2 linked regions of the Sus scrofa genome follow. The protein of the gene in region 2 purifies or fractionates together with the protein of the main gene of each other region. This does not show direct contact. Links are inferred from orthologs where the notes say so. Each region holds a gene or a part of one and is shown on either strand. Other genes may lie near its edges. The genes, in order: DYNC1I1 and NDEL1.

Evidence for each region.
Region 1: the proteins of NDEL1 (region 2) and DYNC1I1 purify together in Homo sapiens (affinity purification with western blotting; 3 studies listed by BioGRID and IntAct, with this or other methods). This does not show direct contact. The link is inferred for Sus scrofa from reciprocal best matches to the Homo sapiens genes NDEL1 and DYNC1I1.

Annotation. Positions count from the first base shown.
Region 1 is NC_010451.4:75,413,523-75,417,838, reverse strand, and holds the start of DYNC1I1 (cytoplasmic dynein 1 intermediate chain 1), read right to left. Parts: upstream 3,059-4,316; 5' UTR 2,883-3,058; intron 1-2,882. UniProt on the Homo sapiens protein: Acts as one of several non-catalytic accessory components of the cytoplasmic dynein 1 complex that are thought to be involved in linking dynein to cargos and to adapter proteins that regulate dynein function.
Region 2 is NC_010454.4:53,600,473-53,604,869, reverse strand, and holds the start of NDEL1 (nuclear distribution protein nudE-like 1), read right to left. Parts: upstream 3,067-4,397; 5' UTR 2,886-3,066; intron 1-2,885. UniProt on the Homo sapiens protein: Required for organization of the cellular microtubule array and microtubule anchoring at the centrosome. May regulate microtubule organization at least in part by targeting the microtubule severing protein KATNA1 to the centrosome.

The sequences.
Region 1 (4,316 bases), on a different chromosome or scaffold from region 2:
ACAAATGAACTTATATACAAAACAGAAACAGACCAGCAGACATAGAAAACAAACTTATGGTCACCCAAGGGGAAAGATGGGGAGGAAGGATAAATTAGGAGGTTGGGATTAACATATACACACTACTATATAAAGGATAGATAACAAAGACCTACTGTATAGCACAGGGAACTATACTCTCTCTCTATATATATATAACTGAATCACTTTGGTAAAATTAACACAATATTGTAATTCAACTATAGTTCAAAAGCAATAAATAAGCAAATAAATAAATAAAGATCACCATAAAAGAAAGAAGAGTAGAGTCAAACTGCCTGGATTCAAATCCTGGCTTTACAGCTTATCAGCTTAAAATTTTTCAGGAAGTTGATATTCTAAGTGTCTTAATTTCCTCGCCTGTCAAACTGGATTACAAATAACCTCTAATTCATCAGATTTTTGTGAGATTAAATAAATTAATACATAAGAAGTAGTTTAAAATGCAATGCCTGGTCAAGTGCTCAATATATTTTAGTAAATGTAACATTTAGCAAGGGCAGTGCAATATATTTAGTAGATATATTGAGCACTGCTGAAGTGCTCAGTATATTACTATCAACTTTTGTTTTACTTGATGAGGCAAAGTATAGGGAAAACAAGGTGATGAGAGAGTACAATTAAGTTTGCAGTGGATGTTTGTGACCTTTTCATCTGATGCTCTAAGGTGACAGAAAGAAATAAGGTAATCAGAGAGGATGAGTGGCTCATTGAGATAAATAAATGTTGATGAAGCCTGTGTACACCTTCTGTGCTAAGAGATGTCACTAGGTTTAAAAACTTGGCATACATCTTATAAGACTGTCCTACATGGCCCTTCTGAGTATGAACAGGGCAGCAACCAGGCTGGGTCTCCAAGAATTACTTGACTCAGCACTGGAGTCAAGGAAACACTCATTTATTAAATGTTGACGCTGGAAACAGTGTTTGGGGGAGTAGAAGGGGTGGGAAGAAAGTTCATAGAGCTCCCTCTTAGACATGAAACATGATGAGAGAAACACCTGGTAACTTTCTCTTGCCTTCTCAGTTCATTAGCAACTAGGGAACAGGGACCGCCACTGCAGGCACTCTGACCCATTTTCCTGTGGGTTGACTTATTTTCTCTGCCCATATCCTTAGTGATACCTACCTAATGGTGTACATCTTTAATACCAAAAATGCTTCAGGACATGTTTTTGGTAGGCGAGGAGGAAAAGCTGGGTGTGGGGAAGGGCTGAAGCACACCCAGGGCTTGGCACAGCAGAGGCTCAGCAACCCTGACCTCTGAGGGGAGAGGAAGCAGGAGCATAGGCGCCTGAGGCCCGTCATGATAGGGAAGAAAAAGAGGGATGTGGAAGATATTTGGGGCTAAAACCTGGTCCCAGAGCTGAAAAGGCTGAAAAAAACATGCATCGGGCCCCCAACTGTATTATCTAAACATATCAATAACTATGGTAGGAGATTTTTAAAAGAAATGGCTCTGGGCATTGCATCCTCAAACCTTAAGATTGAGGGGTTGGTTCCTGTGACTCCCTGGTTCTTCGATGACTTAGTGGTAGGGGTATATGATTTTATTTTATCAAGAAACATAGAAGAGCAGAGTTTGGGTCCTTTTTTGCCATGCCAAAACTTTGGGAGAAAATCTGGCATTTTATATAATCAGAGAAATTATTAATCACACCCCCACTAGATACCCTCAGGATGCAACTTGAACTGAAAGCAAACTTCAAATTTACTGATTCCCACAATGAAAATGTGTACAGAGGCAGTCACCCCTAACTGTGCTAATATTAGCCTATGATGTCTTTCTGCAGTTACCATGCCTCACTGATACTTGTGCTCTCTGCTAATCTGGAATATTTGGAAGCAATTCTGCACACCCTGAACTACAGTAAATCTACAGTGCCCACTTAAAAGGCATTTCGGGCAAGAAAATGGCTGGCTACTTGATCTGCCCCTTAACCTAAACGTGGGAGTGGCTAGGATAACGAATAATTTTCCGTCTCTTGCATTTGGTTGAGTCTCTGATTTCCTAAGTAATTTCCTGTCCTGATCCTGGGTTTCTGTTCTCATTACAAGTCATGAGACTCCCGCACACTCAGTTCCCATCAGCGCCACCAGAATCACTGCCCCTACGATGACGACGCACAGACTTATAAGGCCAGGGCGATGCGGGAGTGGGAGTGGGAGTGGGGGAAGGAGAGCCAAGGGGCCCCGAAGGTGTTTACTAAAACACATCCCCCAGCCACACTTTTTTTTTTTTTTTTTTTTTTTTTTTGCAGCAGTTAAGAAAAACTGGCACCTTCTGGCGTTGAGCGTTTAATTAATGCCTTGCTGGAAGTGCATTCGCTTCCCTCCACTTGGCGGGTAGCAACAGCATCTTTGAGCTTTGCAGACAGCTGAAAACATACTCCAACAGCATCCACTCCCCTCCCACTGCAGCTTCCCCCTCCCCCAGGGGCCGTCAGCTGTTGGCCCAGAGGGGTGCGGATTTCACTGCCGCGAGCCTTCTGCTCCCCAAGCGAAACCCGAGGCGGGGCGCACTGGGACGCCTCTGCCAGTCCGCAAGGTGGGCGACAAGGTGATGACACCACGACTCTCTCCTCTGCCCTCGCCTCGCGGCTCTGCCAGAGGAGCTGCAGCAGGGGGCGGCCGCTGGGGAGCTCTGGCTGCTTTCGGGCGCCGCGGAGCACGCAGGAGCCCAAGATTCGGAGGGGACAAGGTCGGCTGCGGCGGCAGCAGCACTACCGCTGCCCCGCGGCTCCAGAGCCCAAGACCCCGGGGAGGGGAGGGCTGCGGAGGGGCGCGTAGGCGGCGGTCCGGAGCGCACTGACCCCCTCCCCCGCCGCCCCCCTTCCGTTTACCTGCACGCCGGCTGCCGCGGCGGAACTGGGTTCGCGAGAGCGGCGGCGGCGCGGGCGCCCGAGCGTTTCCCGAGGGCGGCGGGCCCGGCCGCGCAGGATGTGCTGTCTCACGCTGCGCCGGCCGCTCAGCTCGAGCTCCTCCGGGACCTAGCACTTCCTTTCCCCAGCCTGCCACTGACAGCTCCCTGGGAGCACCCAGTCTGGGACTCGCCCCGCCCCTTGCCCACGCCCTCCACGCCCCGCGCTCCTCCTGCGGGAGGGCCCTCCGCACCCGGTCTCAGCTGGGAGCGAGTGGCGCTGGTCCAGAAGCGGATGAGAGCAAGGGACCTGGGGAGTCTCTCCATCTATCCCTATGCCACGGGTAGGACTCACCTAATTGGCTGCTAACGGAAGAGCTTTGGTATTTTGGGAGCTCCTGCTGACAGGCTAGCATGGAACAACTTTCACTCCCTGACAACTACTTAGGTTATTTAAATAGAAGTCAGAAAAGCTCAGATCCATCTGCTGCACACAAAGACTTATAGATTTATCCTTAGGTTTTCCCAGAAGAAAAAAAATATATATTTAGCTTGACTCTACCACATTGCTTCTTAAAGTCCCAGCTTTTAAAAGTTGGGCAACCTAATATTCTCCATATAAGTGAAACAAGTCGAAAAAAACCAAATACTGTATAATATCAGTAGTAGGTGGAAAAAACAAAACCAACTAGTGAATATAACAAAAAAGAAAGAGATTCACAGAACAAATTAGTGGTGGGGGGGGCAAGGAGTAGGGGATAAAGAGGTAGGAACTAGTATGTATAAAATAAGCTACAAGGATATGGTGTACAACATAGGGAATATAGTCAATTTTTATAATAAGTGTAAATGGAGTATACCTTTAAAAATGGTGAAAACCACTATACTGTACCTCTATAGTATATGGCATTGTATAAGCAGAACCCTATGAGGCTTCCAGGGATACACCCCTCCTCCATATCCTCTCCTTTAGCTCTTCTCTGAAGTACCTAGATAACAGTACCTAATGCATTTTTCCTGAGTTGTTTTACAGATGCTAAAACTCCCAAGTGGAAGACATTAACTACTTGATGACTATGAGCATATAGCCCTTAGGCCTTCTGGAGTTTAAGGACTGATTATCTTAACCCTGTGACAAGGCCGTTACCTCAACATTAACCCATCAGAGAATTATGCATGACCTGATCGTGCATCCTGGGGCTCCTCTCCCTCACCTTGCCTTTAAAAACACTTTGCTGAAACCCACTGGAGAGTTCCAGCTGTTCCAGAGTGTTGATTGAGCGCTAGACGACTAGGATGGTGCCTTACAACAGATGGCTGAGCTTTCCCTCACCACAACCCCCTGTCAGTAGATTGGCTTTATTATGCCATGGCAAAGAGACCCAAGTTTGTATGTCAACTATACCTCAATAGAAAA
Region 2 (4,397 bases):
TGAGAGTCCTCCACTAGCTGACCTTGGGCGAGTTAGCTAATCACTCAGTGACCCATTTCCTCGCCTACAAAATGGGGAAAATTATTAAAAACAGGGGTGTTTTGAAGACTGAGTTAGTATTTGCACGTACTTAGTACAGAGTCTAGCACACAGTAAACACAGCATAAATTTTATTATTTTAAAAAACTGTGGTTCAGTTGCTGACCTCTGAAGTACAACCACAAAATAAATGCGCTTCAGAATTTATAACAAATGACTCCTTAAAATTAATCACTTCTGGAAGCTATGTGCATATTTCAGTGATACCACCATTACTGAAAACATTTCTACAATCTCTTTAGAAATAGCCTTAATGAACTAGATTAAAAACTAAACAAAAAGCTCTTTCTTTGTGGTCCCACCTCGCTTCAACTGCTTCCTAATATCATCCAGCTTTATCACTCTAATCACGCTAATTTTATTCATCAGATTTATTCTTTCCAAAAATCAGATTTTTTTTTTTTTTTTTTACAGATAACAAAAATGTGCTGCCACTGCAGATATTCAAAAGATGTTCTCAGGGGCAATAAAGACAATCTGTTCATTTTGCTTCAAGTTACAGCAGGAGGATGTGTTCACTGTGTTATCTGAAACTTTGTAACTGGAGATATCAGGCTATAGAGAGTTGGCCAACACAGAAAACTACACTGCTAAAAACAAATAAATAAATAAATTAGCTTTAATGACACATCTATAATCTTGAAGCTGAAATGAGGGTAGATGATCATATACTCTTTGCCGATACCCAATCTTCCCTCAACGCCACGTCTCATGGATGGGGCGTCTCATGGATGGGGCGTGACCCCGAAACAACTCTTACCTGGGTCATTAGCATACGGTATATGACCTTCAGCTGTCTGGCAGCTGACAAATCAACTCATTACGGCATAAAACAGCCTTTCAAAATGCTGTATTTACAAAGAAACTATTCTTTGTGCAATGGTAAGAAAATTCATTTTATATGAACTGTCTCTTTGTTGATCGTTGCAGAATGGACTCCTGAGGCTGGAAAAGTTCTTCTGGAATTCACCGTAGATAATAAATACCTTTTTACGAAATTCTTCTACTTCTCCCAAAAGTAACAATTACAGAATTTCAAACTTTTCAAAGTTGAGCATAAATATGGTCTCCCTCTTGGTCCTGACTTATTTTTCTACCTTATAAAGAGCAAAAACTTATGTCAGAAGTAATTTTAAGCTTTAGTAACCAAATTTACCCCAGCATGACTTAACATGAAAATAAAAATAAGTGTTGGAGAGATCATGAAAGCAACATCTAAGTTTTTACTGAGGTTTCTACTTATTTTAAGCATTCCTCACCCAATTTCAATTTATTTAATTAAAAAAACCTAAACAGGGAATTCCAGAGCAGTAGCGTAGTTAGATTTGGGGCTTTCACCTGTGGCCTGGGGTCAATCCCTGGTCTGGGAACTGAGATCCCACATCAAGCCACTGCACACCACAGCCAAAAACAAAAAATTTACGCCAAAACAGGAAAAAAAAAAAAAGCTTCATAAGATTTAGCAACTTCTATCTGAATCAGGTCAATGTGAAACCAGGGCTGGCCAAAGGGGGGATTTTGTTCCTTATGACATCTGATTTTAAACAACTTAATAAAAATTCAGAGGAAATATTTTAGTTCCCTTTTATTCTCTTCAACACGACTTAATGCTGCATTTTACCCCCCCAACTTCATGACTTAGCAAAGCCATTACCCTCTTTCATAAACAAATTAAAAGCAACACAACTTATCAGACAAAATAATTAGCCAACCGTGGACAAGTTTCAGCGTAGGATTTTTCTTAAAACTGAGCAGCAATCCTCATCCTAGGTGGGTCTGCTGAAAAAAATTTGAATAAATCTTCTACTAGCTTCTGGTATAGTTCTGGCAAGTCAAATTTACTATTTTGCTCTCCAGCTGAGAAGGATGTAAAAATCTCACGGAAAGAAACCACAACTCCAGGCAGGGAGACGCAAATTCTGAACCAAGAGAAGCCTCTCACTGGTTGGTGGAATCCACAGAATAAATCACCAAAACCCCCACCCGACCTGGTCTCAATTTCTCTATGGGTAGAATCACAGACAACCACTAACGAGGTGATGAGGTTCAAAGCCGAGATAACAAGGGTGTTCTCAAACGTGTAAAGGCGCCTAGAGAAACGTAATGAAATTATCCGTGAAGCACCCTCAATTCCCAGGCAAACCTTAAAAGGGTCACTTCGTTGCTTACCAGCTAAAAAACAAAGGCGAGTACAAGCAACCCGAACCCGTTTGGTGACACTTTCCTGAACTCCGAGAGGGGTAATTAGCAGTTCGGAGCTGGCAATCACAGGAATGCCACCGGAGCTCAAGGTGGGCAGCTTCCGCTCTCGCCCCCCGTGGGAGAGAAGCAACGAGAATTCAGAATCCAACCTGGCTCCGAACCACCCTCCAGATGAAGGGATGCGGGATGGGGGCTGGGGAGGGGGAGGGCTGGGCGCGCCGCTGCCACCTCCAGCGGAGCCACCCCTTGCGCGACCAGCTTCCCGGCCCACGGTGCCACGTCCCGGCCTCCGTCCCCGCCATCCCTCACCCCACCCCCGGATGCGGGCACATCCTCCGGAGGCCGCCCGGCTCGCTCCCTTCCAGGCGCCCCAGGTGGGCCACACCTCGGACCAGGGCGGGGAGGGGGCAGTTAGAGCGGTTGAAACAGTTGGCCCCGGACTGGCCGCCCCAGAACCCGGGCCCGGCCCAGCCCGGCGGGGGCTCGGACACAGCCCCCGGGGCTGGCAGGCTCCGCGGGGACAGGCCTCGGCGCCGTCGGCCGGGTCCGGCGCCCTCGGGAGCGGCCCCGCACGGCAGGCTCACCTCCAATGTGTCAAAAGCGCATGTTCGCCACCGCTCGACCGACGTCTCCGCTCCGCTGGCCTGGCCAGGCCCGCCCAGCCGCTCGGCTCCGCTCCCCGCCGCAGTCCTGAGCTCCACTCCGCGCACCTCCGCGCCCGGCTCCTCCCCGACACGTCAGAGGCTGCCTGGGTGTCCGAGGCCATTCTGTGACGCACGGGGGCGGGGCCCGAGCATGCGCACGAGCGCGCGGGCGGCTAGGGCGGGGCTGTGGCAGGGATGGCGTCACACGGGGCCGGGCCGGGCCGGCGCGCTGACGTCAGGCTGGCGGAGGCCTTCTGCGCAGGCGCCCCGGGCCCGCGCGGCGTGCCGTTTACGACTTTCGCGGGTCCCCGGAAAGACTCTGCGTTCCGGAAAGTGGCACTACCGTAGATGAGAACCCGCCTCCCAGTTTTCATCCACCAAACCCTACAAGTGTCTGTTTCGGGGTTCCCGTTTGAAAGAAGAATCTCGGCTCAGATCTCACATCCGAGTCCACCCCGACCACCCAATACCGTACCAGGTGTATTCTAGCACCGTCACACTCTCACACGGAGCTATGTCGGTTTAAGGGCACGTCCACTAGCTGAAATTTTATGCTACTTCTTGTCTTCCTCCAGTAAGATGTAAGTTCCATGAGAACCGGAACCTCATTCCTTGCTTATCCCAGCAGATAGCTTGGTCCCAGGGTGGGTGCTCAGATATTTGTTGAATGAGTGAATGGATTCATTGAGGGCACCAAGGGAATATAAATATATCCATGTATATGTACATATGTGCGTACGTGTTTTCATCCCTTCAGGGCCCCCAACTAATGGAATCCATATATATGTACATCCCCTAGGAGACTTGGAGAAGAAGACTTGGGGGTGTGGAGGGAGAAGGTGGGGAGAGACTGGCTCAGAAAGGAGAGAAATGAAGGGCAGCTGATTAGTGTGTGGAAACTTGGAGAAAGAGAAGTGTTTTAAAAGCAATTTTAGGAACTTTGGACGTTTCACGTACCCTGTAATTCTCTTATGTCAGTGCTCTTGGGACTGGATTTGTGGGGCTTTTGGACACAATGATGTGTTGGTACGAGCCTCAAGGCATGGACATAAAGGGGAACAGCACAAAATGGATTCTAAGAGATGTCCAGTGAAAATCTGAAAAGTGATTTGGGGTGTTAGAAAGTATGGAACTTTGAGTTAGACTCTGAAGGAGAGCAGGTTGAACAGTTTACTTTTGCTGTGCCCTTTGTATGTACTGGCAGGTGTGCCAAAGGCTTTGTCTGCATAATTCAATTCTCACAATAACCCCATGAGATAGGTACTGTTATTATTCCCATTTTACCAATGAGGAAACCGAGACTAAGCGAGATGAAGTTGCCCAATGTCACTCAACTAGAAAAAGGAGTTTTCGGAGTTCCCTTCGTGGCTCAGTGGTTGACGAATCCGACTAGGAACCATGAGGTTGCGGGTTCAATCCCCAGCCTTGCTCAGTGAGTTAAGGATCTGGCGT